Linked DNA regions of Kluyveromyces lactis. The protein of the gene in region 1 purifies or fractionates together with the protein of each later gene. This does not show direct contact. Links are inferred from orthologs where the notes say so. Each region holds a gene or a part of one and is shown on either strand. Other genes may lie near its edges. The genes, in order: NOP56, DBP3, BUD21 and NOP9.

Region 1 (6,639 bases):
CCAAGACGTCCGCACCGTATGTCTGACATTTTTCAACATTCATGGTGTACTCTGCATATGTCAAGACGCTATTCTCTTGAATATGATCTTTCGGATCAGCGAAGCTCAACGCTAGCATTATGATTAACAAACAAGTTACTGTTGATTCAATTTTCAACATATGTGTAATATTAGATAGAATAAAAATCAAATCCTTCTTGAAGTTTAAAACCCTGCGCTCAAAAATAAACTCATCTCTATGAATGAAAACCATCCAAAGAGTATCTGCAATATATTTTTCCATGTGGTAATTATTAGCCATTACCTGTGAATTCTGTTCGTTAAATGAAAGATTTCTCAAGATCATTGAAATTGTTGTCAATTGGTCAACAATCAACAAGTGCGGATCCTCTGCTCCAGAACGGTGACACTTGCTAAAGATGGATCCGACTTCCGTTTTGACTTTAGTTAGAGAATCCATATATGAAATGAAATGTAGCTTTTTGATTTCATCGAGATTTTCGTCTTTCAACAAATCAGGTAAGTATTCAATATCATTCTCATCTTCGTCCTTCTCCAGTGAGACTTCAGGTAATGTCGCATCGACTTCTATTTCTGGTTCCGTCGGTGTGATCGGAAGTTGAGAAAAATCTATACCAGTTAAAGAGTCTACCTTTACTGTATATTCAGATTGATCTTCTCCAGATTTTTTGACGCTTTCCTTGAAAATTTTATCAATATGAGTATCAGAGGAATCCGAATGTTTGGGAGGCGTATTAATCCACTGCTGTTCATCATATTCAGTATAAGACCCTGATATCCTTGAATAATCCTTCTTCAATAGTTTATGCAGTAACTGACACGCCAAGATACAGAGGTTATCCAAAAGCTCACGACATTTATCGAGTGGAATTGATAAAGTGTTATCGGAGCTAATAACTAATAATGAGTTTAGTGCGGTATTGACTTCCGGGTTATTAGAACTTTGTAACTGCATTGCAATTGCATTGATATTGACGACACCAAACTCCGGCGCAAAGAGGAAGATGGGTTTAAAATTATGTATCATCTCACCAAGAGCTGAAATCTTTGAAATATCATACCCATTTTGCGTGGTGATGGCTCTTGTGGTGGGACTATAATGCCTGGCCATCGTTCTCTTATACACCTTCGGAAGCTTCTTAATTTGCTCTTCACGACGTTTCAAAATAATTTCCTGTTGTTTCTTCAATTGTTGTTCGAATATGAGCTTTTGCTGCTGCTGTTGTTGCTCCGCTTCTTGTTGTTGACGCTTTTGCAGCTCTTCCATTTGTTTTCTTTCCTGTTCTAGTTCTTTCTTAGTCTTCTTCTTCACTCTTGGCTTCTTAGGCTGTTTAGGTTTTGCTTGTTTTGGGACGGTGTTCTTTGTTTTGCCTTGAGCCTTAGGAATCTGTTGTTGCTTCATTTGTAAATCCGGTTGTATTACGTTTTGACCCTGCATAAAAGACTGATTTTGCACCTGCGGTTGGAACTGCGGTGTATTCGTTCTAATGTTTCTTATAATGTCCTGAAGTAATTGCTGTAACATGATACGATTGGTTTGAGTTTCTTTAATACCTTCTGGGGTCATCAAGTACTTTTCGTACGGTAGTAAATATCTGTAGTACGTCTTTGCCAATTCTTCTCCAGCATTTGGTCCTTGTATATTCATCTTTTTCGCCAATATGTGCCATTGTTGTGCTTTAGTGACGTTTTCTCCTCCGTTAAGCTTCTGAACATACATGTATAAGATGAAGAAACTGACCTGGGTACCATTAATCATTTGAGCAATATCTGCGGGTTGATTCTTTCTCCTGCAATGTTCCAAAAATGATTTTCTAAATAGTTCAAACTGTTTGGTGTTTAATTCCTGACCGACTTTCCGTTGAATGGCTGGATCTAGATTTTGTAGAACGTTTCTTTGGTTATTAGACTGATTCTGTACTTGAGGCGCATGTTGTTGCATTCTCGCCTGTGCTTGCGCTTGTGCTTGTATGTGCGCTTGAGCTTGGGCTTGAGCTTGAGCCTGTGCTTGTGCTTGTGCTTGGGCTTGAGCTTGAGCTTGTGCTTGAGCCTGTGCCTGCGCTTGAGCCTGTGCTTGTTGCTGCTGTTGTCTTAGTTTCTGCTGCTGTAATTGGTTGAATGCCTGCTGTTGTTGCAACATCTGTAGCTTTTGTTGCTGTTGCTGTTGCCTCTGTTGATGCGCAGCAATTATTGCGGCTCTATCCATATACTGAGGGCTCTGTCTACTAGCACTCGCCTGAGCTAAAGACTCATCGGCCATTGTAGGGGATCCACTTGGCACATTTTGCGGCGTTCCACGCTGCGATAACATCTGCTGTAAAGAAGTAGTGCCGGCGGGAGACTGCGTCGGTGCTACATTGGCTGTATTCATAGGAATTGGTCCTGCGGCTGGAGAAAACATGGATTGTGGAGAGATAGAGACTCCACCGTTCTTCATCGACGGAGGTGAATTGACAGTTGAGAATGAATTTCTAGCCAATATAGCCTGGGGCGTTACGCCTGCGTTAACATCTTCCATCGGCCCTAAATTACTATCAGGTATACCTTGCTGGTTGGGTGCGCCTGAGTTATCAAGGAAGGAAAGGTACTCATCACCGTTCGAACCTCCTTGACCGAAAAGCTGGCCATCGCCAGAATTCATTGGATCACTCTCGTCCGGGAACAAAAACTGATCGTCCATCCGTATGTACCAATAAAGTTACCGTTTGACCCTTGATATCAGGGGAGAGAAATCACGCCTAAATAAAACCTAAAACAAGGGAATTATATTCATTCTGAAAGTAGTGATAGTCAAGTGTCAATTGAATTCATTGAATACAATTTCGAGTTTCCTTTCGTTGTTTTGTTTTTGGAAAGACAAGAAAATTCCAGGTCACGTGATTTTGTCAATTATTCTATATCCGGGTAATACATTCGATCACGTGTATAACTTACCCGGCCGCGGCCGGGTAAGTAAAATATATTTCCCATTCTGCTTTTCTTTTTCAAGCTCATCGCTCTTTTTTTTTTGTTTGGAAAATTTTCATTTCGAAGCCAATAAAGAGAGATGAGCTTTCTGACCAGTGAATATATTGTATATTGTGTTATGTGCACAGCGATATTTCAATTAATACTTGTCTGTATTATCTTGAGTTTTGTTCATTCATTCCGAAGTTAGTGTGTGTTGAAGAGTCCAGATCAAAGAGATTTTACGGTAGCGAGGAAACTTTATTGATCAGAGAATTAAATAATGGCTCCTATTGAATATCTTTTGTTCGAAGAACCTACCGGGTATGGTATCTTCAAAGTGAAATTGCAACAGGATGATATCGGATCTCGTTTGAAGGAAGTCCAGCAACAGATCAATGATTTCGGCTCTTTCACTAAGTTAGTTGAGTTGGTTTCTTTTGCTCCTTTCAAAGGTGCTGCTCAAGCTTTGGAAAATGCTAATGATATTTCTGAAGGTTTAGTCTCTGAACATTTGAAAGCTTTGTTGGATTTAAATTTACCAAAGGGTTCTTCTAAGAAGACTGTTACTTTGGCTATTTCTGATAAGAACTTAGGTCCATCCATTAAAGAAGTTTTTCCATTTGTTGATTGTATTTCTAATGAGTTAGCTCAGGATTTGATTCGTGGTGTTAGATTACACGGTGACAAATTATTGAAAGATTTACAACCTGGTGATTTGGAAAGAGCTCAACTTGGTTTGGGTCATGCTTACTCTCGTGCTAAGGTTAAGTTCTCTGTTCAGAAAAACGATAACCATATCATTCAAGCCATTGCTCTCTTGGATCAATTGGATAAGGATATCAACACTTTTGCCATGAGAGTGAAGGAATGGTACGGTTGGCATTTCCCAGAGTTGGCAAAGTTAGTCCCAGACAATTACAAGTTTGCTAAACTCGTTCTATTCATTAAGGATAAGGCATCTTTGAACGAAGAATCCTTGCACGATTTATCGGAAATTTTGGATAACGATGCTGGTATCAGTGAAAGAGTGATCGATAACGCTCGTATCTCTATGGGTCAAGATCTTTCTGAAACTGATATGGAAAACGTTACCATCTTCGCTAAGAGAGTTGTCTCCCTTGTTGAATACAGGAAACAATTATACGATTACCTATGTGAGAAGATGCACACTGTGGCTCCAAACTTGTCCGAATTGATCGGTGAAGTTATCGGTGCTAGATTGATCTCTCATTCTGGTTCTTTGACCAATCTTTCTAAGCAAGCTGCCTCTACTGTCCAAATCTTGGGTGCTGAAAAGGCATTGTTCAGAGCTTTGAAGACTAAAGGTAACACACCAAAGTATGGTTTGATTTACCACAGTGGTTTCATCGCTAAAGCTAGTGCTAAGAACAAGGGTAGAATCTCTAGATATTTGGCTAACAAATGTTCTATGGCTTCTAGAATCGATAATTACTCCGATGAACCATCTAACGTTTTCGGTCAAGTGCTAAAGAAACAAGTTGAACAAAGATTGGAATTCTATGCTTCTGGTACCCCAACTTTGAAGAATGAATCTGCTATCAAGGAAGCCATCGAATTGTACAATAAAGATAAGCCAGCTCACGAAGAAGAAGTGGATACGACTGAAGTCTCCAAGAAGAGAAAGCTAGAAGAATCTAACGATGAAGAAGACTCTGAACAAGAAGAGAAGAAGGAAAAGAAGTCTAAGAAGGACAAGAAGGACAAGAAGGACAAGAAGGAAAAGAAGGAAAAGAAGGAAAAGAAAGAGAAGAAAGAGAAGAAGGATAAGAAGGAAAAGAAGAGTAAGAAAAATAAGGATTAGGTTGTGTCAACTTTTCAATCATTTTCCGAAGATTGATCGACTTTATTATTATTTTTTTTCATCATATTTCAGTTTAAACTCGTCACTTTACATTTAACTTTTCACTTTTACATTATTAAGTCATTCCGGTTTCTCATAATTATAAAGCTCTTAATTGCACCTTTAACGCTCCTACTTGTATCCTAAGACAATAAGGAAAACCTCGTGTCTACAAACATGCAACTCATCATTTAACCATTGTTACATATTACATCTGTATATCACCCAAATCATATTTTAATTAGAATACTAGACAATTATCGTCACTAAAAAACAGAACGGGTGTAATCCCAATATTTGATTAAAGACACGTTAAATATATAACCCGCCTTGAGTTGTGGTACATTCGTCAAGTTTCCAAAGCTTTAAGCATTCCGATACATAGTACTCTGTCTGTGACGGGTACGAGCAAAGTAATTTCGACATTTCATCTACTAAAGCATCAACGGTAGGGAAATTATATTTCTCAAAACCAATTGGACCCTCAGAAGGCACAACAATAACTTTGAGTTCCTTCCTTGGTAGAGCTAAAATGAAATTGGTGATAGAACCGGTAATAAATTCGGGAGGGACTAAATAGGACAACTGTTTCAACTCTGTTATTTTGTCCGAATTTACTAATATTGTTATATCCTTAATGTCTCTAAGCAATTGTGCTAAATTTCTAGTCATGAAATTCGTTACAATGGCTGGGTATTTCACTTCATTCTCATCGATTATTGCGATCAAAGTATCCTCTAACCTCCATAAATTGTAATGTATCACGAACTGTTCCGTAGAATTTATCATATGTTCTTCTGTGTCATACATTCCAGGTACGGGTTTCATTGATTCCCATTCGTTCATGTTTGATAGGGTACCTGAGATGATACCTATATGTACCAAATTGATAATACTCTTAGGAAGTAGCCACTTTAAGGATGTAGGCAAGACAATGCAATGATTATAAGGCGAAATATCCAAAGATTCAGGTTCAATTGTGACCGTTGGCGTAGTTTTGTTCACCAAAGAATATGGATCGGATTGGACCACTGGGTCTATCTGATGTCTTGGTACTTGATCATTTTGCCATTGCTTGAACTGTACTTAGGATTTAAAAGGATTAAATGATGGTTAGTATGGGACTGCTGAAGCTTTAAATTGGGAAACAAAACATACCGTAAGCATTATGCGTGTTTTGAGCAATCACTGTGTTGAGGTAGAGTCAAAATGAAGTAGAAGCAGCTCATTCAAAGTTTTATCTTCTTGTTGGAAGTGTTTTGCCTCAATATGAATCTGAAAAGAACAACTTGATTATTTCAATTCAATTAATGAAGGAATGTTTAAGTGATGAGAGCAGAACAAAATACAAAGAGGAACAGGATACTTCGGGCTGTTGAATCGCTGATTATAGAACTTTATTACTGATACACACCGATACACATAAATACTATGTCTGCTGAAGAGACCACACAGAAATATACAAAGCTACAGGGCGAGTTAGAAGAACTGATCGTAGCTAGACAAAAGCTAGAAACGCAATTACAAGAGAACAAAATCGTCAGCGATGAGTTTTCGAGTTTGAAAGATGATGCTACTGTGTATAAGTTAACCGGTGGTGTACTTCTGCCAGTGGAACAGTTTGAAGCAAAGGGGAACGTTGAGAAGAGACTCGAATTCATTGAAATCGAGATCAAACGTTGCGAGACCAACATCAAATCCAAACAGCAAGAATTGGAAGTTGCAAGGAGCGAACTTATGAAATTACGTTCTCAGCAGCAGCAGCAGCAGCAGCAGTAGCAGTAATGAGTTTAGATAGATGGATGCAT
Region 2 (8,395 bases), on another chromosome or scaffold:
GCGCATGTAGATGCATGGTTAAAGCTTGGATTGGTTCAAACACAAAACGAAAAAGAAATGAATGGTATTAGTGCGCTTGAGCAATGTTTAAGCCTAGACCCCACTAATCAGCAGGCACTCATGACAATTTCTATCAGTTATATTAATGAGGGATATGATCTGACCGCTTTCAGCATGCTCAACAGATGGCTAGATAGTAAGTACCCTGAGTTAACACGCTCCCCTACCATTGATGAGGCCAATATCGATAGGTTTAATTTGAGCAAACAAGTAATCACGAAGTATTTGCAAGTAGCTAACGCCTTGCCTCAGGTGGATCCAGAAGTTCAGCTCGGTTTGGGAACGCTTTTCTATGCCAATGAAGAGTTTGGTAAGACAATTGACTGTTTCCGCACCGCATTAGAAGTCAATCCAAATGACGAATTAATGTGGAACCGTTTGGGAGCCTCTTTGGCCAATTCAAACCGTAGCGAAGAAGCTATCCAGGCATACCACAAGGCCCTTGCCTTGAAACCGTCTTTTGTGAGAGCTCGTTATAACTTGGCCATTTCGTCAATGAATATTGGCTGTTATAAAGAGGCTGCAGAGTCTCTGCTCTCTGCTCTATCTATGCATGAAGTAGAGAATGTTCCAATTACTGGATCAGTCGTGCAATCTAACAATATTCTGGAGACCTTAAAGCGTTCCTTTGTCGCCATGGATAGGAGAGATTTGCTAGAAAAAGTCATGCCGGGCATGGATCTACAGCAATTTCGTAATGAGTTTAACTTCTGATAATGCAACGCAGCGAATAGTCTTTGTTTGATAGGACCATCCTCATATTCATAATGAATTGATCTTTCACCAAGTTTTGCGGAAAAATACATTCGCATAATTAATTACAAGCATTTAGTCGCATATATGTAGTCGTCATTCGATTGTATTCCTCAACGAATAGTGCAGAGGTCCATGCTCACGATCAGTGTACCAGTCAAAGTGTTATGGTAAGCTGTCGCGGTATCTAGAGACAGATTGCGATTCTATCATTTCTACCGGGTAACATTTTCTTGTTTTGGATTTCTTCATTTTAAAGCGAGTTGCAAGAATTTGAAGTAATGTCAACAGAGTAAAAATATATGTTCTCTATAGATAAACTCCAGAGTAGTACAAAACAATCATTTACTGGTTGTTGTTTGTGTATCTAAGTGATTTCGTTAGTACTTCAATACGTTAAGGAAATATAGTGTGACTGCTTGGAGCAGAAAATACTATTGATCGCGTTTTGCTGTTTTTCTGAGGCATCCAACTTGATCCGATTTATTGTATATTGTACGTGAACGAGAGACCAGTCAGAAAATCTAGATAGGATCAATGACTTCGAGTACACCTTATGAGTACTCATACGAATTGGATGAGAAAAAGCCATTAAATTTGGATTCCAATTACGTGTCGTCATTTTCAAAATATAAGAGGTACGTCCTATGGCTGTTTTCCATACTTTTCATATTATTTTGGTTAAGTGATTTCTCACTTGTTGCAGCTGAACCCAAGGTGGTGATAATTGTTGCTGTCAATAGTGGTGGCGGTGGTGTTTTAAAGTGGAAATCGGAACAAGAATGGGCTATCGAGCGTATTTCTATCGAAAACAAACGTGCATACGCCAAAAGACATGGTTACGGATTGGTCATTAAAGATCAGGCACTATCAAAGAGATACTCCCATGAATACAGAGAGGGCTGGCAAAAGGTTGATATAATGAAACAGACTATGAGGGAATTCCCCAATGCTGAATGGTTTTGGTGGTTAGACGTGGAAACTCTTATCATGGAGCCCCAACTTTCTTTGGAAGAACATATCTTCGATAGACTAGATGAAATCGCAAACAAGACTTTGGAAGCTTTCAATCCTTTGCATATAGCTACCGATGTGGCATATGTTGACTATTCACAACCGTCAGATATGTTAATTACACAGGACTGTGGTGGTTTTAATTTGGGTTCTTTCCTAATGAGAAACACTGAATGGACTGAGCTTCTTCTCGATATATGGTGGGACCCAGTCGGATATGAACAAAAACATATGGTCTGGGAACATCGTGAACAAGACGCTTTAGAAGCATTGTATGCTAACGAACCTTGGATTAGAGAGAAGATCGCATTTCTACCACTAAGGCAGATCAATGCTTTCCCACCAGGTGCTTGTGCAGATTTCAAGTATGACTTGCGCTATTTCTATAACGAAAAGGAACATGACTTCGTTGTCAATATGGCTGGGTGTAACTTTGGTAGAGACTGCTGGGGTGAAATGCGCCAATACACTCAACTGATGCAAACTCTTCACCGTAGATGGTACTCGATGTTCTTTTAGATTCTCAATTTCCTTTTGTTTATCACTTCAGTTGTATTTCAAAAATTATGCACTGCTCCATTGTACTAATACTGTAAAATAAAAGGCGAAGGTACAAGAAGATCTTCGATAGAGTATCCCCTTTTATACTTTAATGCTTTCCCTTTCAACACCATTCTTCGTTGCCTTTCAAAGTCATTGTTTGAATATCGCATATTTAATACGTCTTTAATTTCAATTTTTATCGTGAACATTCATTGTACAAACTTCGATGCAAGAGTAATTGTAAACTTTTATTTACTCTGTATTGAATGAACTACTGTACATAATGGGGGTGATTGCTAAAAAATACAAGAATTGTCTTTATAACGGATTTAAATTAATCAAATGTAATCTTTTTTGGTTTCTTTGATAGGTCCACATCCTTGAAGAATGCACCGTACGCACTATGTTCCTTCTTCTTTGTGTGAGTACCGAACTTCTTGAGCTCCTCAGGAACAGGTTGACCAGCACCATTTAAGACATTAACAAGGGCACCTGCAAGATGCTTTTCTTGCTCAGTGAACAATGTGTGTGCGGTACCGTATTGACCAGCACGACCGGTTCTACCAATTCTGTGAACGTAATCTTCTACTGTTAGAGGGAAAGTCAAATTGATAACGGTTTTCACGTTTGGGATGTCTAAACCTCTGGCTGCCACATCAGTAGCTAAAAGTAAGTTACATTTTCCTGCTTTGAATTCATTCAAAGCTTGAGTTCTTTGCTGTTGAGAAAGATCACCGTGAATGGCAGCAACATCGTAACCGTTGTATTTCAAGTTTCTTTCAACACGAGAGGCTTCCTTTTTGTACAAGGCAAATATCAAAACTTTGTCGTTCTTTGTTGGGCCTGAATGGTACTTCTTCAACAGTTCCAACAGTTTTTTTTCCTTTCTGAACGGATCCACAACTTCCACGATCTGAGTAATTCTTTTGTTTGCTGACAGTTCATCTCTGTTACCAATAGACACTTTAACCGGTTCACTCATGAAACTTGAAGCAAGTTCACGAACTTCTTTTGGCCATGTCGCGGTAAACATCAACGTTTGTCTAGAGGTGGATCTTGTTTGTCTAATGATTTTTTTGATATCTTCCTCAAAACCTTTTTCCAACATTCTGTCAGCTTCATCCAAGACCAGGTAGTTAACATGACTCAAATCAACAGAGCCTTCCTCTATTAGATCCAACAGTCTACCTGGAGTAGCAACAACGACTTGGGATCTCCTCAGATCTTCTCTTTGCTGATCCTTTGGAACACCACCGTATACGCAACAAGATCTTAAACCACACGCGTCAGTAAGAACAATCAAATTATCGTAAATTTGAGAGGCCAATTCTCTAGTTGGTGAGATAACAAGTACCTTGACGGAACTTGACTTGTCTCCTGATGTGACAATGTTGTTGATAGCTGGAACACCGAAAGCAAAAGTCTTACCCGAACCAGTTTCAGCGATACCGATAACATCCTTACCAGCTAATAGATATGGCCAGGAAACAGCTTGAATTGGAGTTGGTTTTGGGAACTTAGAAATTTCCTTTTGAATCTGATCAATAAACGACACTTGGGAAAAGTCTAAATATGGTACAATATTGGAACCTGATGGGTCGCTAACTGTAACCTCATTTTCCTTCAAAAATTCATCAATATCAGATTGAGAGGCAGAAGCAGCAAAGCTTTCAGTTTCTGATTTCTTATCCTTTTTCTCCTTCTTTTCTTTCTTCTCCTTCTTATCCTTCTTGTCTTTCTTGTCTTTCTTGTCTTTCTTGTCTTTCTTGTCCTTCTTCAATTTTTTCTTACTCTTCAACTCCTCATCTTCCACCTTTCTCTTCTTGTCCTTTAATTCATCTTTTGACATTCTGGACTATTTGCTTGAGCTCTAATGGTTAAGTATCACTACTACTGCAGATTCTGCAATCATATCATTCGAAAGCACTTAAGTCATCTCATCTCATCTCAGCTTTGTTATATAAAATTTTCAATAATCAAAAAACATTTCTTTTTACTGACGCCAGCTGAATTACAACAAGAGACAAATATATAATTAATATAGCAACGGAGGATCCGTATAATTGATAATATATTCTCAATTAATTCCGATACAGCAGTACCTCAGTTCGTATATATCTAGTAACAATAATTCAAAAGACAATGCAAGTATTATATTTAGTAGGTATATTAAACAGGTGAATAAACGTTAAAAAAGACAAGAAACGAAATGCGATAGGAAGCAGTGTTTATCATTTAGCATCATAAGCATGGAAAGCTTCAGTTGTTACTGACTCCTGATTGCTATCGGTGTTTTCATCTTCTCTGATATAGAAAACTTTCTTTGCCTTAAATTGCCAGAATCCTAAGTAGAATAATAGGAACCCAACAATGACGACTGATGCATAATTCATGTTATCTTTTGTCACTGGCATGACAGCTGGGAAACAGAAAAAGACTAAAGCGAAAAGATTCCAACCCAATAAAACGATATTGGAGAACGCTCCGAATTTTCCTAGCCAAAATGGGCCATGTTTAATATTACGTTTACGCGCCAACAGACATACGACCGGAACACTGTATGAGAACAATAAGAACGCAATACACCCAGTAATTAAAGAATTGAAAGCGGTGGTGGAAGCCATGTATAAGCAACCCAATAGCGAAATCAAGGCACATGACAGCAAGTGCGCGTTCAATGGCACACCCAATTCAGGATCAATTTTAGCCCAGTATTTAGAGTATGGGATACCGTTGTCTCTAGCAAATGACCAACACAATCTTGCTTGCCATGTATGGCATGCAATAACACATCCAAATGAGGTGAAAAGGATGAGGCAACCCAACACTACAGCACCTGGAGTAGATTTGGTAGCTTGACGGAAAATTTCCAAGATTGGCATTCCGGTATTGGATGAAGCAACAGCCTCTAGATCTTGTAAAGAGAAGAACATAGCGATGACGTAACTGAAAGAAGTAAGGAATCCAATGCCCACTGTACATAGAATAGAGATCGGAATCACTCTTTCAGGGTTTTCCACTTCAAAAGCCATGTGAGTGGCACAATCTAGACAAGAGAAGGACCATGCCGGGTTGATTAAACCGACAATGAAGGCAATGACTCCATTTTTCCAGCCAGTTTCGTTATAGAAAGTAGCAAAAACGAACTTGGCATCGTTATATTTACCATGGGAACAAGCTAGCACGGTCACTGTAATGGTGAAAAATGAAATCAATGAGATGTACAATGACGATTGAGAAATGACTGGCAAAGCCTTACCAGAACAGTTGAACATCATCAAGAACAAGTGCAAGATTTGGAAACATACGAATACATGCCATCTCTTGACTTCAAAATCTGGATGGGTCAAAGCGTACATGCCTACCAATTCAGAAGCAACTGAAAGTGTGGTAGATGCACTAGAGAAAATCGCACCTGCCCATGCAAAAGAACCACATAGATAAGCAGCTAGTCTTCTGTATTTTGGTGGAGCCAACTGCAACGACCACCAGAACTGACCACCAGCGTGTGGGAAAGCAGAAGACAACTCACCTAGAGTCACAGCAATACAGATAGAGATCAAGGCAATGATAATGATACCGTATACGACCATCATTGGACCACCAGAGTAGATACCAGTAACCATGGATACCGAGATACCAAACCAAGAATTCGTCAACCCGAACCCAACACCTAAAATCGACCATAGAGAGAATGATTTACGCAAATGACCTTCACCTGTACCACCGTACGCATCGTAAGCATCTTTACTCGATATACTTTGTTCTTCTAGTTTACTCTCCTCATGAACAACATTTTTGATACCGTTATCCGAACTGTTATCGTTGAATCCAGTTGAAGATCCTGCCATCTCGGAATTAGATATCTCTCGCATCTTCAAAGAATATCCCTAATACTACCATCTATATAAAAATACGAAACAAGACACACAATATAAATAAACTACCAACTCATCTCATCTCATATTAACTAAAAACATATCAGTGTCCTTATATAGGATTTGGCAATTCCTCGAAATGCAGTTTTCTGGTTGTCTTTTATCTTTCCATTTTTCAAATCGTCTCGAAGACGAAGTTTTTCATGACATGTGAAAATTAAACCTCATTTGGCCCAAAATCCCACTTCCGTCTCCTAAAAGGAATTTCCTTTGCTTTATGGAATTGACATGGATTTAGTATAGATCGTGGATTTTGGATTAACTGGCAGAGTTATATGTGAAGTTAGTCTAGACAGGCTGGTTTATGTACATATATATATATATATACCTATCGGTGTGTTTCTTGAAGTGAGCGGAATAACACAGGTTAGGAGGCATGGTCGTTGAACTTTCTTCCGTAGAAGAACATTACTTGAAGAGAGAGTTATTAAGGATTGAGTTGAATACAGAGTTTGAGAAGCTTAACGACATTAATGCATTGAGGAAGTTCGGGTGCCCCTTCTCGGATGAGGATCCGAAGAGTAAGGGCAAGGCTAAAAATAAGAGTCATTCACGAAACAGCTCGGTTTCTAGTCGTGTTTCATCAACGCTTAATTCTGATGATGAGGTGAAACAGAAATTTGTTGGTGAGTTTCCGGTATTAAGCCATTTCTTGCAGAATTTTGTAATGACGTTCCCATTGTTGTCCAAGGAGTTGGTTAAGGATCCGTCGTTTTGGCAGGGTAAAGTTCAGGTGTTCTTTGAGCATTTCATGTCTTTACCGTTCAGTTCCAGTTTTGATAGAGAAGAATTGACAAAACGTCGGAAGATGGCATTGAAATTGTCCAAGGTGATTTTATTGTTCTATAACTCTGGGATCGGTGTGTCAAAGGAACGTCAGTACTACGAGCAAGAGAAATATCATCTTACTAAGGATGCAGAGAAGGCTACCAAGTTGAATAAGTTTACCATGCCAAGCAAGGATAATTTGCAGTACTTATTGACGAACGAACCTATCTACTTCAATGGGATCGATATCAATGTGATAGCCGTGGTAGAGCATCGGTTACTTTTCCCTGATGATAAGGTGAAACCAAAACCGGCTAAAAGTGTTGCAAATAAATGGATGAAATCAAATCTAGGGTTTGATTTCTCGAAGCTATCGTTGATTGATTCTGGTAGCTCTAAGAGACATCAAAGCTATTTTATGATACGGGTTCGTAAGGAGGACCCTGCAACTACTGTTTTTGTTTATAAGACCTATGAGGATTTCAAAAGATTGGCTAAGGATTTAAAGACTGGATACCCGGGTAAAAAACTACCGCAATTACCTCATAAGAACAAGATCCAGGCCTCTATCAAACAAGATGGTGTTGATGTGACAGAAACGCTTGAATCCATTACACAGCAAGCGAAAGCAGACTTGGAGACAGACGAGATTGAGTACGAAGAGTTCGATGAAGACCAGCACGACCAGAGCTCAGAACAAAGTTCAGAACAAAACACTCCTAATATCAACAAGAACCGAACGTTGCCTCGTGAAAGAATGAGAACGTCGTTGAGACAATATTTGAGAACCCTTTGTCAGGAAAAGGAAGTGGCTACAGGTACACCTTTAAAGAAATTCTTGTTCTCTAAAAGTGAACGTCTTGAGGATGCTGAACTCAATTCTGCTGTTAAAAATGATATGAAGAACCGTGAACTTGTAGATCTGACCAACATAGAGCATCAAATCAAATTCCAAAAAATGGCCTTCGAAAGGTCGTTGAAATTGCAAGACTCATTAAAGGAAATGAAAACTTCCTTGCTACAAGATCAAGACTTCTTGCTTGGATTATTCAAAGAGTTTAAGGAGAAAAGGGACCCGTACGAGTTATCCCCAATCTTGAGGGATTTCTTTGACTGGTGTAAGATCTACATGTCAGCAACCCTGTACCAAATGTTTTTGGGAGATGATAGCGGGTATGAACTTTATAAGCAAGTCCGAAGATTACATAAGTTGCTGCCGTATACAATCATGATTCAAATTTTACGGTTTACTAATCCAATAGCGATAATGAAGGGTATGATGGATTTGTTTATGGCTCAGCCATTTGGAGGACAATCTT
Region 3 (7,701 bases), on another chromosome or scaffold:
CGGTGAGAAGAAAGTGGAAGCTAATAAGTTCTACAATGAGTTTATTCAGGACAAAGACCATGTCCATATGAACGCTACGAGATTCACATCATTGACGCGATTTATACAACATTTAAGCCAGGGGGGGAAAGTACGGATCCATGGAATAGATGAGCTTACTAGCGATACAGACCCAGGACGGTTTATGATAAGTTATATCGACTCGTCTTCACCAAATATGATACGGAAGAAACAAATAGAGTCATTGAAACAAGCCGAACGTAGTGACCAAGAGATTAAGCTAAGGCTCTTGGAGAAACAAATCGAGAAGGCCAACGCTGAAGAAGTCAAATCGGGTCAAAAGGAAGAAGAAGAAGAAGAAGAGGAAATAAAAGCCAATATAAGAGATGGACCTATAAATCTAACAGTATCCACATCGAAGGTGACTAAGAAGAAACCGAAAAAGAAGCTCAAAAATGTTTTCAAGCCAACGAAATGAGGCACTTATATATATGTAATATTAATGGGGACCGTTCATTGAAGTATATACCGCGCTACACACGTAGCATTGCAACTTTGTTTGCGAATAATACAAGATATAACTCACGTTTGGGCCGTTCTTTCTAAAAGATGTCAAAAGAGTTTTGCTGTTCAGATTGTAGTTCTAAGTATCTCTTTTTGAATCTGTAATAGAGGAACCACGTTGTTAATATTAAAAATCCATTAGCCAATAGAATAGAGATGAAATTGATTAACCTTGTAGAACCCGAGTCTGTTTCTCCCATGTTTTTGAGCCTTTCACCAACGAAGAGATAAATAACCGCTTTTGGTGTGGTGATGATGTTAGCAATGGCAAAGTTCTTGATTGAGATTCCATAAATACCAGCTATCGCACCGTTAATGAAAGAATATGGGAACGGACAAAGTCTAATAAGAGCAATCATCCAATAGCTGTCATTACCTTGTAATACCGATGATACAGCTTCTAATTTGGGATTCATTCTGATCAATCTCTCAGCATGGGAATGCAACAATCTCTGGAATACTGTGAATGAGAGAACTGATCCAATCACAGTGGACATGGCAAGAATGAACCAACCCTTGAAGGAAAGCCCATAGATCAAACCTGTAGAGAGAGATAAAAATGAGTATCCGATCAATGGCGGGAACGAAACCGCTAATATAAGTAGCATTAGAACTAGAGGTGTGTACCATTTCTGTCTCAGATCATTAGAGGCATCCACCAACCCTTTCATTATCGCTTCCCTTTTAACTACTGTGATAAAGATTAATATGATTTCAAGGACCCCTAAAAACACCACAAGAGCCTTCTTTCGTCTGCTCAACGCATTAAACTTATCCTTGCCATTTCTTAAATGCCGTTTCCCATGTTGAACAATACGTTGCCTCCAGCTCAAGTTGTATATGTCAAGGAAGTCATCGTCCAAATCATCAAAGTTGTCGTTACTATCCAAAAAATCCGTGTCTGAAGGCCTCGACAAACCGCCAGAACTAACTCTAGCCTCGTAAAGATCAGCCATTATACTAGTATCAATTGACCTTGAGTCTTTACCGACACTAAGAGGCTTGACAACAGCATATGTTTCTCTGATTTCCAGATATACAGTGTTCAAAGTGTTAATCTCTTTGATGAATTAATTAAATGTTTTGTAATATAGTGGCGGAGTTGTGAATAATGAAGGATACGATGGAAAGAGTTGGTTTCTAACCGTCCCTGAAGTGAACTACAACCTTTCTTAGTTAGAGCAGAAGAATGCACGGAACTGGTGTTACAACCTGTGTGATCATATTGACGGTCAATATATCTAGATCACCTTTAACCGGAGACCTTATGGTCACGTGATATTCATCCTATATTGCAATAAATGATACCACCTCACAAGAGAAAACACAGAGCGATGCACTTAGAAGCACGGGCTCTCCAAGATAGCTGTCCTGTTGTTACAGATGGTTACACCCTACTAAACCCCCGATTTTGAAGTGACACGGCTGTTCAATCGCCGGTAATTCCTTGTGTCAGTTTTCCAGACGTCAAATTGAACTGAATTTAGATCCCAGCCACAAACGTTTTAATAGAGAACACGACATAAGACGTTCTCCAACCGTTCAAGGTCGAGATCTGAATCTAGATATTTAGAGAGAACGTCAGCTTCTACTGTACAGAGCTAAATCATATGAAGAGCTTATTGAATAAGCGGTTTTCGCCTAAACGTCGAAATAAACCAATCACTTACGCACCAGCTTCAGCAGCGAAACCTAAACCCAAACCCAAACCTAAACCCAAACAACTGGACCCACCAATGCAATCCGGTGAGAGCAGTAGCCAGAAAAGCAGCACTCCCATACCAATCAAGTCTATATTAAGACCTGTTGATGGCACGCACGAACATGAGAATAAATCTGTCCGCATTGTGGAATCTTCACCACATCCGGAGTCTGTTCCAATCAGCACACCAACTAGGATAATAGTAGGACCATTACCTGATGGAAATGTTAGTGACTCTTTGGTATATAATGCCAGCGATTTAGAAAAGGGTCATATCGGCGTCGCGGAGGAATCGTCACCGCTACTAGAATCACAGTTGCCTGATTTGACAACATACCAAACAATTTCCCCAGAGTCCAACCCCACTGCACAGATACATTGCTGGTCAACACCCTCGTTGCCAATTCCAATACCACCACCATCAAGCGATCAGCCATGTTCAGGCGACCCCGTGCAGTCACCCTCAATTCCCCCATCCAGGGAATCACCATTTACCAGTCCGTTAAGTCGGTTCTTGCAAATGCTATACGCAAGATATCCTGTCATCATAACTTATATCCTAATCACCATCTGTGTCATTGGGATAATATATTCTTTAGTAACAGGAACTGGTAGATCATATCTCTTGGTTATTATAAAGGCATGTATATGCTGGATAATGGGTACAGACGTGGCAAGAATGCTTTTTGGTACCCAGTTCTGTGATATTGAGTTTAAAGTGTCATGATGTTTCAGTACTGCAAGCTACACATTAAATACCATTAGCATAGCAATAAAGTTGATATAAATTGATATAATCTAACCAACAAATAGCACCAGAACCAGCCAATACACAGCACAGTCCGTTAACGGGTGATGAGCATTCTACTCGTAGTCCAGTGTCAGGAACAAAATCTTCAGCACGTGACCTCTATTTACGTATCATTTCTTTTCGAAGTGAAAAATTTGGACAAAGCGATGAGATGAGATGAGATGAACCACTGGAACTAGTCCATGAAGCAGGTCGTGTTACCGTTCTGTCAGTGTTTCTGTTCAATTGTGCATTGGATTAGACAAGTGGCAAGAGTTTACTGAGAAATATAACAATGGGTTTGAAGAAAGTTCTAGGTTCTGGTGCTGCACTGGTAGCGAAGAGACACTTGAAGTTCGATGATGATGCGGATGATTCATTCCATACAGCTGATGAGGGCAACTCTACCCTAGATGCTCTCAAACCAACAAAAGCAGAAGCGAATGGTGAAAGTGAAAGTGAGAGTGAGAGTGATAGCGATGCGCCAGAAGAAGAAGGCTTGAGTAGTGGGAAAGATGCTATAGAGAAAAGGATTCAGGAAAGAGAAGAGGCTGCAAGGTTACAAGAAGAGGCAGCTAGAGAGAAGAGACGAAAGAACGAGAAAGTGTTCAAGCAACAGCAGCTAGAGAAGAAGAAGAAGCTGCTCGAGTCTGAGGAGGAGAAACAGAGAGAAAAGATGTTAGAGTTTGAACGACAATTAGTAGCGCAGCAGGGTTCGGATAATGATGAGCCGGAAGAGTTACCACAAGAGTTCTTTGATGAGCTAGAAAGTGGATCTGCATCTTCCTTCGCAAAGGCTACGCCGAAACATATTACTTTCTCGGCAGAAGCGCAAAGAGAAGAAGAACAGGCCCTAAAAGAAGAATTACGGAAACAAAAGAAGAGATCACTAAGGGAATTGAGAAAGACCCAAATACAGAAAGGACCTGTCACTGTGAACTTGCTATCGTCGATGAAGGTATCTAAGACACTGGCTCCAAAAAAGGAAACCAGTGTCATGAAATCAAAGGATAAATGGTTGAAAAGAAGAAGTCTCAAACGTAAATAGAAGAGGATTTGTGCCCACATGTACCTATCTATTCAAATATACAGGTCTTTATACATGTGATTTGTCTCGTGTATAATGTATTATCTAAAAGAGGAGTTTCCTGATTGGCTTTAGCTATCATGAGGAGCGAAGAAAGAGATCATTAACGGGATAAAGATACCCAAGAGTAACAATCTGACATCTGGAAGTGATTCTTGTTCTATTTTCTCTTCAGTGGTAACACCTTCGCCCATCTCTAAAACAGAACCCGACACTGGGATCGGGCCATCATTCTGTAACTGTTGTTCCTGGTCCTTACTTGGTGAGATCAACGCAAGCAATGAAGCATACAATAAACTACTACCGCTCAGAACCAATAGCCCATCGCTCATTTTCTCGATTAGGTCCTTGCTGACGAATCTCATCAGGATCACGAATAGCAACCCGAACGGTGTGGATATACTGAATGCAATAAGATTAGAGATTACTTGTAGTTTGGGTAATCTCTGTTTCGAAATCATAATCCCCGTCAAGGAAAGCGTCGCAGGAATTTTATGTATAATAATGGCGATCAACATCACGAATTTCAACGAATCGTAGGATTCGGCAATCCCCAACGCCAGTCCATCAGAGAATGCATGGATTACCAACGCGAATACGATATTGTTCGTTAAGATAAATGGCACCGTCTTCCTTGGATTGATCAAATCGATATTCCTCTCAAGAGGATCAGGCGCAGCAGAAGCATCAAACGAACCACTTAAGATGTGACCAGCTTGCAGTGCATGTAAGAACCTATCTAGTCCATATAGAATCATGAATCCCAATAACAAACTGATCCCAAACCCACGGCCACCCTTATCACCGAATTTCTCGACACCTTCCGGTATCACTAGTAAACAAGAAGTACCTAACAACATACCAATACCGAAATCAGACACATACTTCAAGTACCCCATGCCAGAGTCTCCCTTCTCAGCTAGCTTACTCATGTACATCACCGGGATAAGCCCCGTTCCTAATGTCGCAAAGAATAGGAATACTGCCGAAAGTAAAGGTTCTAGCAGCTGAGACATGGTTAATCAAACGTGTATCCGTGTTCACCTCTCACTAGTGTCTATTACCGCTACCAATCTTGATTCAAATTGCAGTCCTGACGTATAACGCACACAATTAGTGCCAAAGACCAGTCATATCAACGTGTTTTGTCATTATTTACCTTATATATCAACGTTGAAAGGTTAAATCGTGCGATTTAGAATTGATGTTCGAAGTAAGAATTGGACCCTGAACATATCTCTTTATGGAAAAACATGTAGGATATAACCGGGTGCATTGTGTTAATGCCATTCTGCACGACTGTAGCAGTGGGTAGAGTGAGATTAACTGGTTGGTAAAATCTCCGTAAAGAACGCAGTGCGGAAAACAGTGACACTTTAATCTGTAGATAAAGAGAGCAACTGGTGACGCATCATTTTGTTGTAAAATTAACAATGAACCAATGGGTGAAGAAATCGATGCTTTAGACGATGGGCTGCTGACTAGGACTTATGAGCTGGGGCTGAAATGGATGCAATGTAGGGAATATTCCAAGGCGTTGGGTCTTTTCTCAAAAGCCATGAAAGTGTCACGATCGTATCCGATGGAAATGGTGGAAAATATTCGTATACGTGCTGGAATGCCCAAGAGATGTGCTTACGATGAGAGTAAGGCTTACCATCCTCTGTACGTGAAACTATTGGATAGCAGGATATCGTGTTTGATGAAAGTTGGCGACTATGCACGAGCCGTTAAGGAATCACAGTATTTCTGCAAGATTGAACCGTCTAGTACTAGGGCCTTGTTAAGGCTCGGGAAGTCGTACGAGCTGGCTGATAAGGGTGATAGGGCAAGGCAGGTATACAAGAGCGGAAGGAAACTTGTGAAAGAGTTGAAGGAACGCGGGGTTCTCGTGTCTCCGGTACATGAGAAGCTTTTCAGTGATCGGTACGAGGAATTATTGAAAAGGAACGCTATGCAGTTGGTTAATAGCAATGATGCTGAATCCGGGGCTAGGAATTCCGAACAGATACCAAGTAAGAAGCGTGTTTTAATAGAGCAGAAACTAGTTAACAATGAGGACATTGAGGAAAATGACCTTGTCTCCGATACAGATCAAGACCATGACGGTTCAACGATGAATAAGAAAATGAAACGAGCAACTATAGACCCTATCCAAACTTTCCCAACAGAACTTGTGATATCTATCATGCGGCGATTGGATACAAAGGATATCACATCATGTATGCTGGTATCCAAATTTTGGTATCGAAAACTATCGACCACTCCAATGATTATAGACTATTTAAGTGTTCCCAAGACAAATTATTCGAAGATTAATTCACTGTTAAGGTTCGTGAAAACGAAACGGTGTGTGAGCTCCGTCATTCAATATCTGAACTTCTCTGTAATGGCCACTAATGAAGAAGCTAAGTGTTCACAGTTACTGTTCAACGGATTGGACCAGGAAGTGAAGAAACTGGTCTTACAATTCACTAATTTGAATATCTTGAAGGTACTTCAATTGATCTCGGATAAGGAAAAATTGATTGCGAATCTTCAAGAGTTCTCTGTCTTTGGCCATTATGATCCTAACCATTGGGCAGATGAGGATGTTGTTTTCCTTGAACGTATCGATAATTTAAAGAAAATCGAGGTACTTATTGGGACCGCTATGGTGCCAGGTAGAAATTCTTCCATACACAGACGCAGACAATTGCAGTTTCCGAACAATGACAATATAAGTCGTTCCTTACAATCCATTAAGTTAATATTCAAAGATAATGGATGGACAGGTCCCACGCCGTTTGCTTGCATCTTTTCTTCGGACACCCTGCGGTTTGCCAATGTGTCAAAACTTATTGTTACCAACCGTGATTTCAGATTTAACCAGACTGCAGATTGGATAAAAAAGTTCCCCAACCTCACGGATCTTTGGCTAGAGCGGAACACCGGTTTGTCTTTGATGGGATTCTTACAGAGCTTGCAAGAGCCAAACGTTTTGAAGCGCTTAAAATATTTCACCTTTAGGGAAAGTTCCACTGAATCTAATAGGAGCTTCAATGGCCAAATGTGGACCGATGAACAAATCGAACCCATTCTTGCAAATCTTGGAGCGGTCCAGACTTTAGACATCATGAACTCTGCCATTGCAAGAAGTGTGCTATATAGGTTGTTAAATGAACTTCCTTCTATTAGAAAGCTAAACATCGGAAATGTATTCGAAATGTCAGATGAACTTTACCCAAGGACAGACATAGAAAGTACTGCATTTCTGTTTTTACGGCATATGACGCATCTAAGGGATCTCAGTGTACCGAATATGAGTTCTCACCAGGTTAGAGCTTTCAGGCAGTTAGCACTTGTCATATCAGAAATTGGTTCATTAAGTAGGTTGGACCTGTCGTTTAATCCTTCTATGCAAGGATATCAACTTTATGACATTATAAGAGAACTCTTTGATAATGGAATAACACTTAAAACTTTGGTTATCGATGGATGTTCTCATATATCGGCCACAACGGTCAAGGATATTGAACGTAATGGCTACGTTGAAAACATTGAGTGTGCCTTCAATAA
Region 4 (9,024 bases), on another chromosome or scaffold:
TGTTTGTGAGTTGAGATGGTAATGATGTTATCGTTATTGACAATGGCGTCAATGATAAAATCAAAATTTGCTGGTTGGAATTTGAAGATACATTTCTGAATGACATGATTACCGTTCAAATCATTAATCAAAGTGACTACCTGTTCAATTGATGTATGCTCCTGAGAAAATCCCCTAATGATCATATCTATATGTTCTTGGGTCTCAACGGTATCAATGATCTTTTGCAAGGATCTGGTACCATATTGATTGATGGAGATTTGGAATACAGAGGGATAGATATCTTTAATCATTGCGGTTTTCTGATCAGTTGTCAAATAATCACATAGCTTTTGAATCAAATAGTTACCGAATGGATCCAAAATTAGATCCAAGAAGAAATTGTTGACATTCTCGAAGATTAAATCTCTCACTTGATCCGATTCTTGAGGAGTTTCCAACTTTCGTTGCAAGAATCTACAACCGTATTGGTCTGTAGACAATTTCACGTAATCCAAGTCCTTCAATCGGATATTATGCAAATCGTTCATGGAAGTCACTGCAGAAGTTGTCGCAGTAGATGATGACGCTGATGAAGACGATGCTGATGATGCGTTCGATCCAGTATTACCACCACTTGACGACACTGTATTCCCGCGTGCGCCAGTCCCACGAGATGTACTAGTGGAACCATTTGGTGAAGAAGCAGTTGAAGTCAATGACGTTAAATCAGCAGCTGCAGAACCTCCCGGAGGTAAGATGGATTCGAATTCATTGATCAAGGGCAACGATTTCATACGATTTTTCGCATTGGCAGAACTAGACGCAGCCGTTGACACGGATGTCGTGGCAGAAATCGTACTCAGCGGTGACATTGTATTGACATTCAGAGGAGAAGTGTTGGAAATGAATTGGTTGAATCCAGACAAATCCAAAGAATGTGTTCTTTGATGGTTATTCTTAGAGTTCATCTGGCCCAACGGCGGAGTCACTGGCTCAATGACAGATTGAACAGAGTTAACTGACAGTTGGGGTTGATGATGGAATTGCATTATCCACTAGTTATGTCTCGACTCCGGCTTCCCCTAAATACTTGAATCTTTGATTCTATTATAAGATCTTCTTCAGGAAAGAATAGCTTTCAAAGGTTAATCACCAGACGAAAACAGGGACTTGGAGAGAAAAAAAAAAAAGCACAGTTTAGTCTAAACACAATCTGTTAGTATCTCAGCTGAATAGTATCCTCTTGTTCCCTCTACTCTTTTCTTTGAATGAAACCAAATTTAGTTCGCAGCTGATCTGGTACCAGATCTGGAAGCAAACAAATATAAAACAAGCGAAAGTATAAAAAGCCCACAAATCAGAAACTGATCTTTTGTCTAGCGTACCCTAAAACTCATAGGTCTGTTGTATACACCAGGAAAACCTCAAACAATTGTTCCAGTAACACGCTCTTCTTACAATGCAAACTCTCTGTGATTCTTGATTCTCTCTATTCTTATACGATTCTGATTCTTCCATACTATTCGAGGGATAATGAAAAATAATACTCAAGAAATACGTAGACGCCCGCGTAGGAAATATCTGCTTTCCTATTGCCCTGCCTAGCCAGACCGGGGGCGCCGCCCGCGGTCTAGGCAGATCAGATGAGCGTAGACAGGAATTTGAGAAAAATGATTCAGGGAAAACCAGGGTTGCTCACGTGCCGGACAATCTGTCTGGACAGACATTTTTCACGATCGAAATAGCTGTTAGGCAGAGAAGTCCACCGTGGCCAGGATTATTGTCCGGCACTTCTAAATCAGGACGAGAATGTGAATCAAAAAGAGGGTTGGATTGAGCGAAGAGGCTGGATCAAAGGTACTGTAGTCACCTGCAACAGTTCTAATATGAGAATCTGTATAGTGCTACTTTCAGTATCACTATAACAGTAATTTAAACGAGACTCAAGTTGGATCATTAATTGGCAAAAGCTTTCTGTAGATGCAGAACAGGGGGAAAGAAGGTAAAGGTTAATGGGTAAAGGGGCTGTCCGTTAGGACAAATTTCAATACATACTGGTGGGGTTTGGAAAAAGCACTGATTGCTTACGGATCAGTTTCTGTGGTGAAAACTAGAACGTAGATCCAGAAATCAATTTGATCTGGGGAACTACTTCGTTTCCAGTGGGATCAATGATGTTCTTTTCCTGAACAACGTCGACGCTAGTATCTGTATATGGACCAGTGCTAGAATCTGACCTAATAAGTGCTGTTTTGAAGGTAAGTTTGTGTATATCAAGCGCAAAGAATGTGTATGTATAATACTGAATATATATATATATATAGATAAAATTATTTGGTATGATTTGGTAGGGTAGTACCCTACTTTATTGTGAAACAATAAAGATGAATACTTAGGGTAACCTGAGGGTCCAGAAGGTCAATTGACACGACGTGTGAGTAGCAATTAGTTCAATGCATTGGAATAGCTGGTATCTCAACGGCAGCGAGGCATGAAATTGTCAGTCTCATTGGCTATAATTCAGTATTTAACGCTAAATATATGATTAAATAATGATGATTTAGCCAGTACTTTCTAATAAGGGAACTCAGTTCTAAAATGAAATAGTAATATACAATAACGTAGCGGAGTGGGGGGTGATGCAATAGGGAATAATTGAGATGAGTAGGAATTTTGGTAGTAATAGGTTGTACTTGTTCTTACACAAGTAGCACAGCGTTGACACAACCGTCTCTATCTGGCTCATTCGTGATTTGAGCATATTTACCCCAAACCACTTTACCACCAGAAGTAACCATACCTAATTCCGAGACGTTCACTTCAATAATAGTACCCTTGGTTAATACACCCAACTGTGTGTACATTGGCGATTGAGGATTCTTCTTCACCGCAAGAATTGGCAAGAAAACGGTGACTCCAAGTTCCGGATGCGTCACATTAGCCTTCTTTTGTCTCAAAGCACTAGGTCTGATAATCCTTTCCATCTTCACAGGCCTTCTTGTAAACCCTTCACCAACAAACGTATGTTTCGTGATCATTCTCTTCCATGCCTTAGACTTAGACTTACCTGTCTTAACAACTTTGAACATCTCTTCCTCACTGATACCTCTGACCTTAGGCAAAGGAACAGAAAACTTGTCAGCCTTCTCCAAACGCTTCTGCTTGATGGAACTGGATATAGCCTTTGCAGTGTTGTTCTGTTCTCTGTCTAACAAATAAGTAGGCAAAGCCTCCCCGTTCTCATCCAACGGTTTGGACCCTCCTTTAACTTTACTCTGCTCATGAGCACGGATCTTCTTCTTCATAGCAACCTTCTCAGCATAACGCTTCTTAGCAAATTGCTTACCCTTCCAACCAGTCAATTTCTGAGCCTTTTCAGAGATCTTATGAGCCTCACGGGCTTCTCTCTTACGTTTTCTCTCATCGTGGTCTAATCTACGACCATGTTGCTTGATGTGCTGTTCGATATATTCGTTTTGAGGCATCTTTGTTTTATTGTAAGAACGACTTGTTCGGTGATGACTTACTTCTAAATCACAAACGGACACACGGACTCCTTGAATGGACTTCTTACCACATGTTAACCCATGCGATGAGCTAGTTGTTCAAGTTGTCTTTGTATGCTTTTCTCATTGAAAGAAAAAAATTCAATAGGAAATGTCGAAAAGAAACGTAGTGAAAAAAAAAATTTGGAATCAAGCGATGAGATGAGATGAGATGGGTATCAGCCAGATACAAGTTTGGTTGTCTGGTGTGGGTTTGGCATAGGTTCGATCTACTGTTATTGATGTATAAAACCTCATTACATTCTATTGACAAGGGTTACAGCGGAAATATAGCCATGTCTGAGGAGTTAGGAACTGTTTTGAAAACGATTAGAGATTCTTTGAAATCTTGTGGAGAAAGCTTGGATAAGTTAGAAGAAGTCTATGATGATGAGGAGACCCATCCTTTCCAAGGTTCAGCGGTGGTAGGTCACAAAGGTGATAAATTAGAAAAAGTTTCTCTACTTTCTTTGAAGAATGGGAGTATGCTATCGTATTTGAATTCGCTTCTGTTGGTATTGGGACAGAAATTGAATAAAGAGATGGTTGTTGATGAGGGTAGAGTCAGGGCAGTGGAACAACGAGTTGTTCTTGAAAGAGGTGTGAAGCCCTTGGAGAAGAAGTTAGGGTACCAGCTGGATAAATTGACGCGGGCGTACATTAGACTGGAGAAAGACGTTGAAGAATCCAAGAAAAGAGCCGAATTGCAGGGACTGAGTGACGTACGTGCTTCCCAGGAAGAAGTATCAGACTCAGATTCTGATAGTGAAGAAGAGATGCAATATAGGCCGAACAGTTCAGGAATGGTCAATAACACATCAGTTGGAGGGAAAGCCAAGGGGAAAATCGCTGTCAAGAGTACTCACAATGAAGAAGATGTGGATGATAAAGATAACGTTTATAGACCACCTAAGATCAGTGCCGTTCTGCCACCAAAGCAACATCACTTCGAGGATAAATTCAACGCACAAGAACATAAGGATAAGAGTAGCAGGTCTCGTATGCAAGCTATGGAAGAATACTTGAAGGATTCCTCGGAACAACCGGAATGGGAAACTTCTATCGGTGCCAATATCGTCAACCATGGTAGAGGTGGTGTGAAGACAGCAAGAGATACAGAACGTGAACGTGATGTTCAAAGATTCGAAGAAGAAAATTTCACTAGATTGAACCCCAACGGATCCAAGACTGACAAGAGAATGAAAAAACAAAGAGAAATCATGGCCAAGGTTAATATGATCGCCGGTGAAGATTTCAGTATCTTCAACTCCAAGCGTAAGTTGGAGGATAGTACAAGCAGAAGAGGTAATAAGAAATCTAGAAATGCTTGGGAAAGAGCCAAGAAGAAGTTGTAAACCTGAGGTCCTTCTTTTTCTATGTATAAATAGGCTAAAATATCCATACGTCTCTATTGTCATCATATAGTGTCAAATACGTAGTTTATAAATCGAATGATAACGGTGTTGCACTGCTCAAACTCTAGCTTTGATGTGGTTTGTTTCGTTTCGTTTTGTCTCGTTTTCTTCATATCAAGGTGTAATCACCAATAATTAATTAATACAATCTAAGCGTTCCAACTTTGCAAGATATAATCACCACCTATCACCCCTACTAATCTCCTACCAGCGTACAACTTCCAGCGCCCCTGATGAAGAACGAATACACCAGAAAGAAAGTCTCAGCAAAGGATAGGAAAGCATGTCTGATATGTGGTAACCCTACAGTCACAGTTTTGTTCAATGGAAGCGGACCTGATTGGTTTTATACATGCGATATACATCTAGTTGATAACCCGCAGTTTGTACAGCCTCTATACCCAAAAGAGTATCACGAGTCTCTGGTTAGTCTTAAGCCACTCAAAGAACGCATAGAGGAGCTACAAAGGAAAGAGCGAGGTACCTGGGATCAATGGGTTAATAAGATCTTTGACTCTAAAAAGCCATCATCATCTGATGATAAGAAAGAGGACAGGGATGACGCGAGTTCTGACGACAAGAAGAAGACCGATGAAGCAAACTCACTTGAAGAATTGCAGCAAACGTACCAAGCGACACTTGATAAGCTAGCTGCATCAAGAGAGACGTGCAATAGATACACTCTACACGACCTAGTATTCCAATCAAGAGTCGACAGACTACGGAAACTGGCTCAATTAAAGGAAAAGAAACGTGTAGAGCAACAATCATACACCAACACCGACCCCAATCAACTATTACAATCGTTTTCGTTTCCTGAAGTCCCCAAGAACACCGTTAACAAGTCATGAGAGGACGGCCTAATATGCCTACCTCTTATGTCTTTTGTGCAATTCTATATCACGTGATTGATATCACGTCAAAAAGAAATTTCTGATCTTTTCAACTTTTCAATGAAAAGCTTTAAAGAAGCAGGACATAGTTAGATCCCATGCGATGAGCTTCAAACTAGAACAGAATACTTGCTGGTTTCAGGCGTTTCATCTCTGGTTTTTGCTATTTTAAATAATTTTGAACTTTAATTCGATACGTGCTCTAAAAAAAGGCTAGGAACTGTAATATCATGGCTAGAGTAAGAGGTAGAAAGCTAATAAAAAAGCTCAAGAAAGATGAGTTCCATCCAGAAGACAATAAAACCCATGATGAGCCTACGGTTAGCCATGTTAATGAAACTGCTGGGGGTGACAATAGTGATGTGAGTCCTAATACTTTCTTTGGTGTCCTAGATTCTGGCGAATTGGATTATTTTAAGAAGGCTGAATCCACGTTGGCTATTGATACATTTGAGAATCCAGATGAGAAGTACCAGTTTATCAACAGTGTCATCGAGGAAAGTAAGGGTAAAGAGTTGAAACTTGCTACGTCTCAGATTTCTTCTAAGCTAATGGAACGTATTATTATGGAAAGTGATGAAACTCAATTGAAGACTATCTTCAAAGCTTTCAATGGGTTTTATTTCAACCTTGCATGTCACAAATATTCCTCCCATGTTTTAGAGACTCTATTAGTCAGAGGTGCAGCACAGGTGGAAAAAGAATTGTTAACACCTGATTTTGATTCTGTTGATGAGGGTGAATTCGTTACTACTGAATCATTGTTTTTGTTTTTGACTAACGAGTTGCAACCGAACTTAAGGTTCATGGTGAGCCATCAATATGCATCACATGTCCTTAGAATTTTAATCTTAGTGCTATCGTCAAAGACTTTACCAAGTACTGTACAGAACAATTCAACATTACGTTCCAAGAAGTCTAAGATTGCACGTAAGATGATTGACATTAAGGATAACGATAACTATAACAAAATATTCAAGACTCCCGATTCATTCAAAGTTGTTCTTCGTTCTATGTTATCTTCAATCTACACTAGTTTCACACATGGTATTCCACAGGGCTCTGGACACTTTTCTGAGATTTCTCTCGCTGACGTTATGAAATTCAGGGAAATATGTGTTGATAAGATCGGGTCTCCAGTGATTCAATTGGTAATACAAGTAGAAGGTATCTTCGATAGAGACAGGTCATACTGGCATCTAATATTCAAAGATTCTGATGAGAAGGATCCCAAGGAAGAGTCATTTGTGGAGTACTTACTATCAGATGCTGTTGGATCTCATTTCTTGCAGAATGTTATTGCATCAACTAGAATCAAGTACGTGGAAAGATTATACAGATTATACATGAAGGATAGAATTCCAAAACTTGCTAAAAGAGATACAACTGCTGCATTTGTGTTGCAATCACTTTTGAAAGTCTTGAACTCTAAGGAAGTCAAAGAGATTATGGATGAACTGGTCCCAGACTTGAGCGTTTTGTTGAACTCTAACATGGATTTCGGTACTGAAATTATAGATGCCAGTATCCGTCATGATAATTATTTGAGGGACGAAATCATTGAACAATTAATGAAGAAATACTATCCTCGTGAGTCATCTGATAAGAACATCTTAGAATCTTGTCTTCAGTTAAGTTCCTCTACCCTTGGTAACACTAGAGATGACTGGCCAACTGCTGAAGAGAGGAGAAAATCTCTATTCTTAGAGAAGTTGATTGATTACGATGATTGCTTCCTAAACAGTACCATTGACAGTATGTTGAATCTTCCAGCAGAAAGACTTTTGCAGATGCCATACCATGGTGTGTTTTCTCACGTTGTTGAACATGTTCTACAGGTTAAAAGAGTTGCCATCATCAAAAGAAAACTCTTACTCAATGTGTTATGCAAAGATATCGTAAACTTATCCTGTAACGCATATGGTTCCCACATTGTTGATAAACTATGGACATTTACGGCTAAATTGGCTATGTACAAGGAACGTATAGCAACTGCGTTATGTGCAGACTCTGAAAAGGTCAAGAACAGTGTTTACGGTAGACAAGTGTGGAAGAATTGGTCGCTTGAACTATTTGTAAGAAAGAGATACGACTGGAAAAAAATAGTAAAAGAACAAGAGCTCGAAATGTTCCCAGATTCTAAACCTTTACAACCAAAGACCTTCAAGCGTCCTAATAATAACAACAATTCGGATGTTTCACCTTCTTTCAAGAAGAGCAAGTTCCAGAAAAAATAATCATGAAAGCATGTACTTCAACATATCAAAGTAATCAGTTGTAAATTATATATATATACATAGATATAAACAACCAAGTCACGTACACAGACGATAGTATGTATAGTTATAACTCTACTCCAGTCATTTGTTTTTTTATAACATTATCTTTTCTCAATAAAAGTTTACCAAGTGCCTTTGGTTCTTCTATTATTTAACCCTAAATATCTTGCTACAGTGTCAAAGATAACATCCATTTCTTCTTTAGTGTATTTTTTTAGTTGGTCAGCCGCAGTAGCATCTGTAAATGTAGGAATTGAAACATCCTCTTCATTACGCAAGCCCTCAGTGATTGCTTCAAGATCAGATTGTGGGAATGGCAATACGCCATAAAATTCAGCTACCTTACATAAATCCAAATCCTTGATATTGCTGAACTCTTGTACCGTTTCCGGTAAAGGAATTTTAAGATCGATTGGCAAATCGCCGTCAGCGTTAGGTAATGGACCGATCGCATCTGCTGGGTCTCTTTTATTATTGTTTGCTACTCTTCTTATTGATCTTTCCTCAAGATAATCAAGTTGTCCTTGTAATTCTTCCACCAATTGTTCCAAATCTCCGTTAGTAGCAAACTCAGATGTATCAATTGACAAGGAAGCTTCCGCAGCAGCAGGCTTGTTGGGCTTCTTTTCTAGATCTAAGCTTCTGATATCCGTCTTTTGTTGTGCTATTTGCAACTCAATGACAGATTGGCCAGTCTTCGCCAACATTGTGCTTTGCCTCTTAACGAGACCCTGAAGCTCTAGAACTTGGTTTCTTAACTTGGAAATTTCGTCACTCATGGTGGTTAATCAATAGTGTGCAATTCGAGATTAGAAATACCTCTATCACAGTAGCTTTCCTCTTTCCTTGTTAATATTCTCTTTTTGAAGGGTATGGCCATCATTTTGAATTGTTGATAGTTTCATAAATA

What was found.
Region 2: the proteins of NOP56 (region 1) and DBP3 purify together in Saccharomyces cerevisiae (affinity purification with mass spectrometry; 3 studies listed by BioGRID). This does not show direct contact. The link is inferred for Kluyveromyces lactis from reciprocal best matches to the Saccharomyces cerevisiae genes NOP56 and DBP3.
Region 3: the proteins of NOP56 (region 1) and BUD21 purify together in Saccharomyces cerevisiae (affinity purification with mass spectrometry; 4 studies listed by BioGRID). This does not show direct contact. The link is inferred for Kluyveromyces lactis from reciprocal best matches to the Saccharomyces cerevisiae genes NOP56 and BUD21.
Region 4: the proteins of NOP56 (region 1) and NOP9 purify together in Saccharomyces cerevisiae (affinity purification with mass spectrometry; 3 studies listed by BioGRID). This does not show direct contact. The link is inferred for Kluyveromyces lactis from reciprocal best matches to the Saccharomyces cerevisiae genes NOP56 and NOP9.

The regions. Positions count from the first base shown.
Region 1 is NC_006040.1:1,041,827-1,048,465, forward strand, and holds NOP56 (snoRNP complex protein NOP56), read left to right. Parts: upstream 1-3,250; coding exon 3,251-4,792; downstream 4,793-6,639. Other genes in the region: SWI1 (Swi1p), read right to left, coding at 1-2,701; PBA1 (Pba1p), read right to left, coding at 5,144-5,911, 5,990-5,998; tubulin-binding prefolding complex subunit YKE2, read left to right, coding at 6,263-6,610. UniProt on the Saccharomyces cerevisiae protein: Required for 60S ribosomal subunit synthesis.
Region 2 is NC_006039.1:1,342,497-1,350,891, forward strand, and holds DBP3 (RNA-dependent ATPase DBP3), read right to left. Parts: upstream 4,220-8,395; coding exon 2,705-4,219; downstream 1-2,704. Other genes in the region: PEX5 (Pex5p), read left to right, coding at 1-774; MNN10 (alpha-1,6-mannosyltransferase), read left to right, coding at 1,351-2,346; HNM1 (Hnm1p), read right to left, coding at 4,602-6,245; LEC1 (Lec1p), read left to right, coding at 6,685-8,395. UniProt on the Saccharomyces cerevisiae protein: ATP-dependent RNA helicase required for 60S ribosomal subunit synthesis. Involved in efficient pre-rRNA processing, predominantly at site A3, which is necessary for the normal formation of 25S and 5.8S rRNAs.
Region 3 is NC_006037.1:679,515-687,215, reverse strand, and holds BUD21 (Bud21p), read left to right. Parts: upstream 1-3,351; coding exon 3,352-4,104; downstream 4,105-7,701. Other genes in the region: RTS2 (Rts2p), read left to right, coding at 1-478; TVP38 (Tvp38p), read right to left, coding at 603-1,520; KLLA0_A07645g (uncharacterized protein), read left to right, coding at 2,175-2,993; Mn(2+) transporter ATX2, read right to left, coding at 4,215-5,159; DNA-binding SCF ubiquitin ligase subunit DIA2, read left to right, coding at 5,585-7,701. UniProt on the Saccharomyces cerevisiae protein: Functions as part of the small subunit (SSU) processome, first precursor of the small eukaryotic ribosomal subunit that coordinates the first two steps of ribosome biogenesis in transcription of the primary transcript pre-RNA and pre-18S processing.
Region 4 is NC_006041.1:1,203,153-1,212,176, forward strand, and holds NOP9 (RNA-binding RNA processing protein NOP9), read left to right. Parts: upstream 1-6,065; coding exon 6,066-8,072; downstream 8,073-9,024. Other genes in the region: MPT5 (Mpt5p), read right to left, coding at 1-1,031; rRNA-processing protein NSA2, read right to left, coding at 2,682-3,467; small subunit rRNA maturation protein LCP5, read left to right, coding at 3,695-4,882; VFA1 (Vfa1p), read left to right, coding at 5,176-5,793; MRP8 (Mrp8p), read right to left, coding at 8,237-8,893. UniProt on the Saccharomyces cerevisiae protein: RNA-binding nucleolar protein required for pre-rRNA processing. Component of the 90S pre-ribosome involved in production of 18S rRNA and assembly of small ribosomal subunit. Component of the pre-40S ribosome required for release from the nucleolus.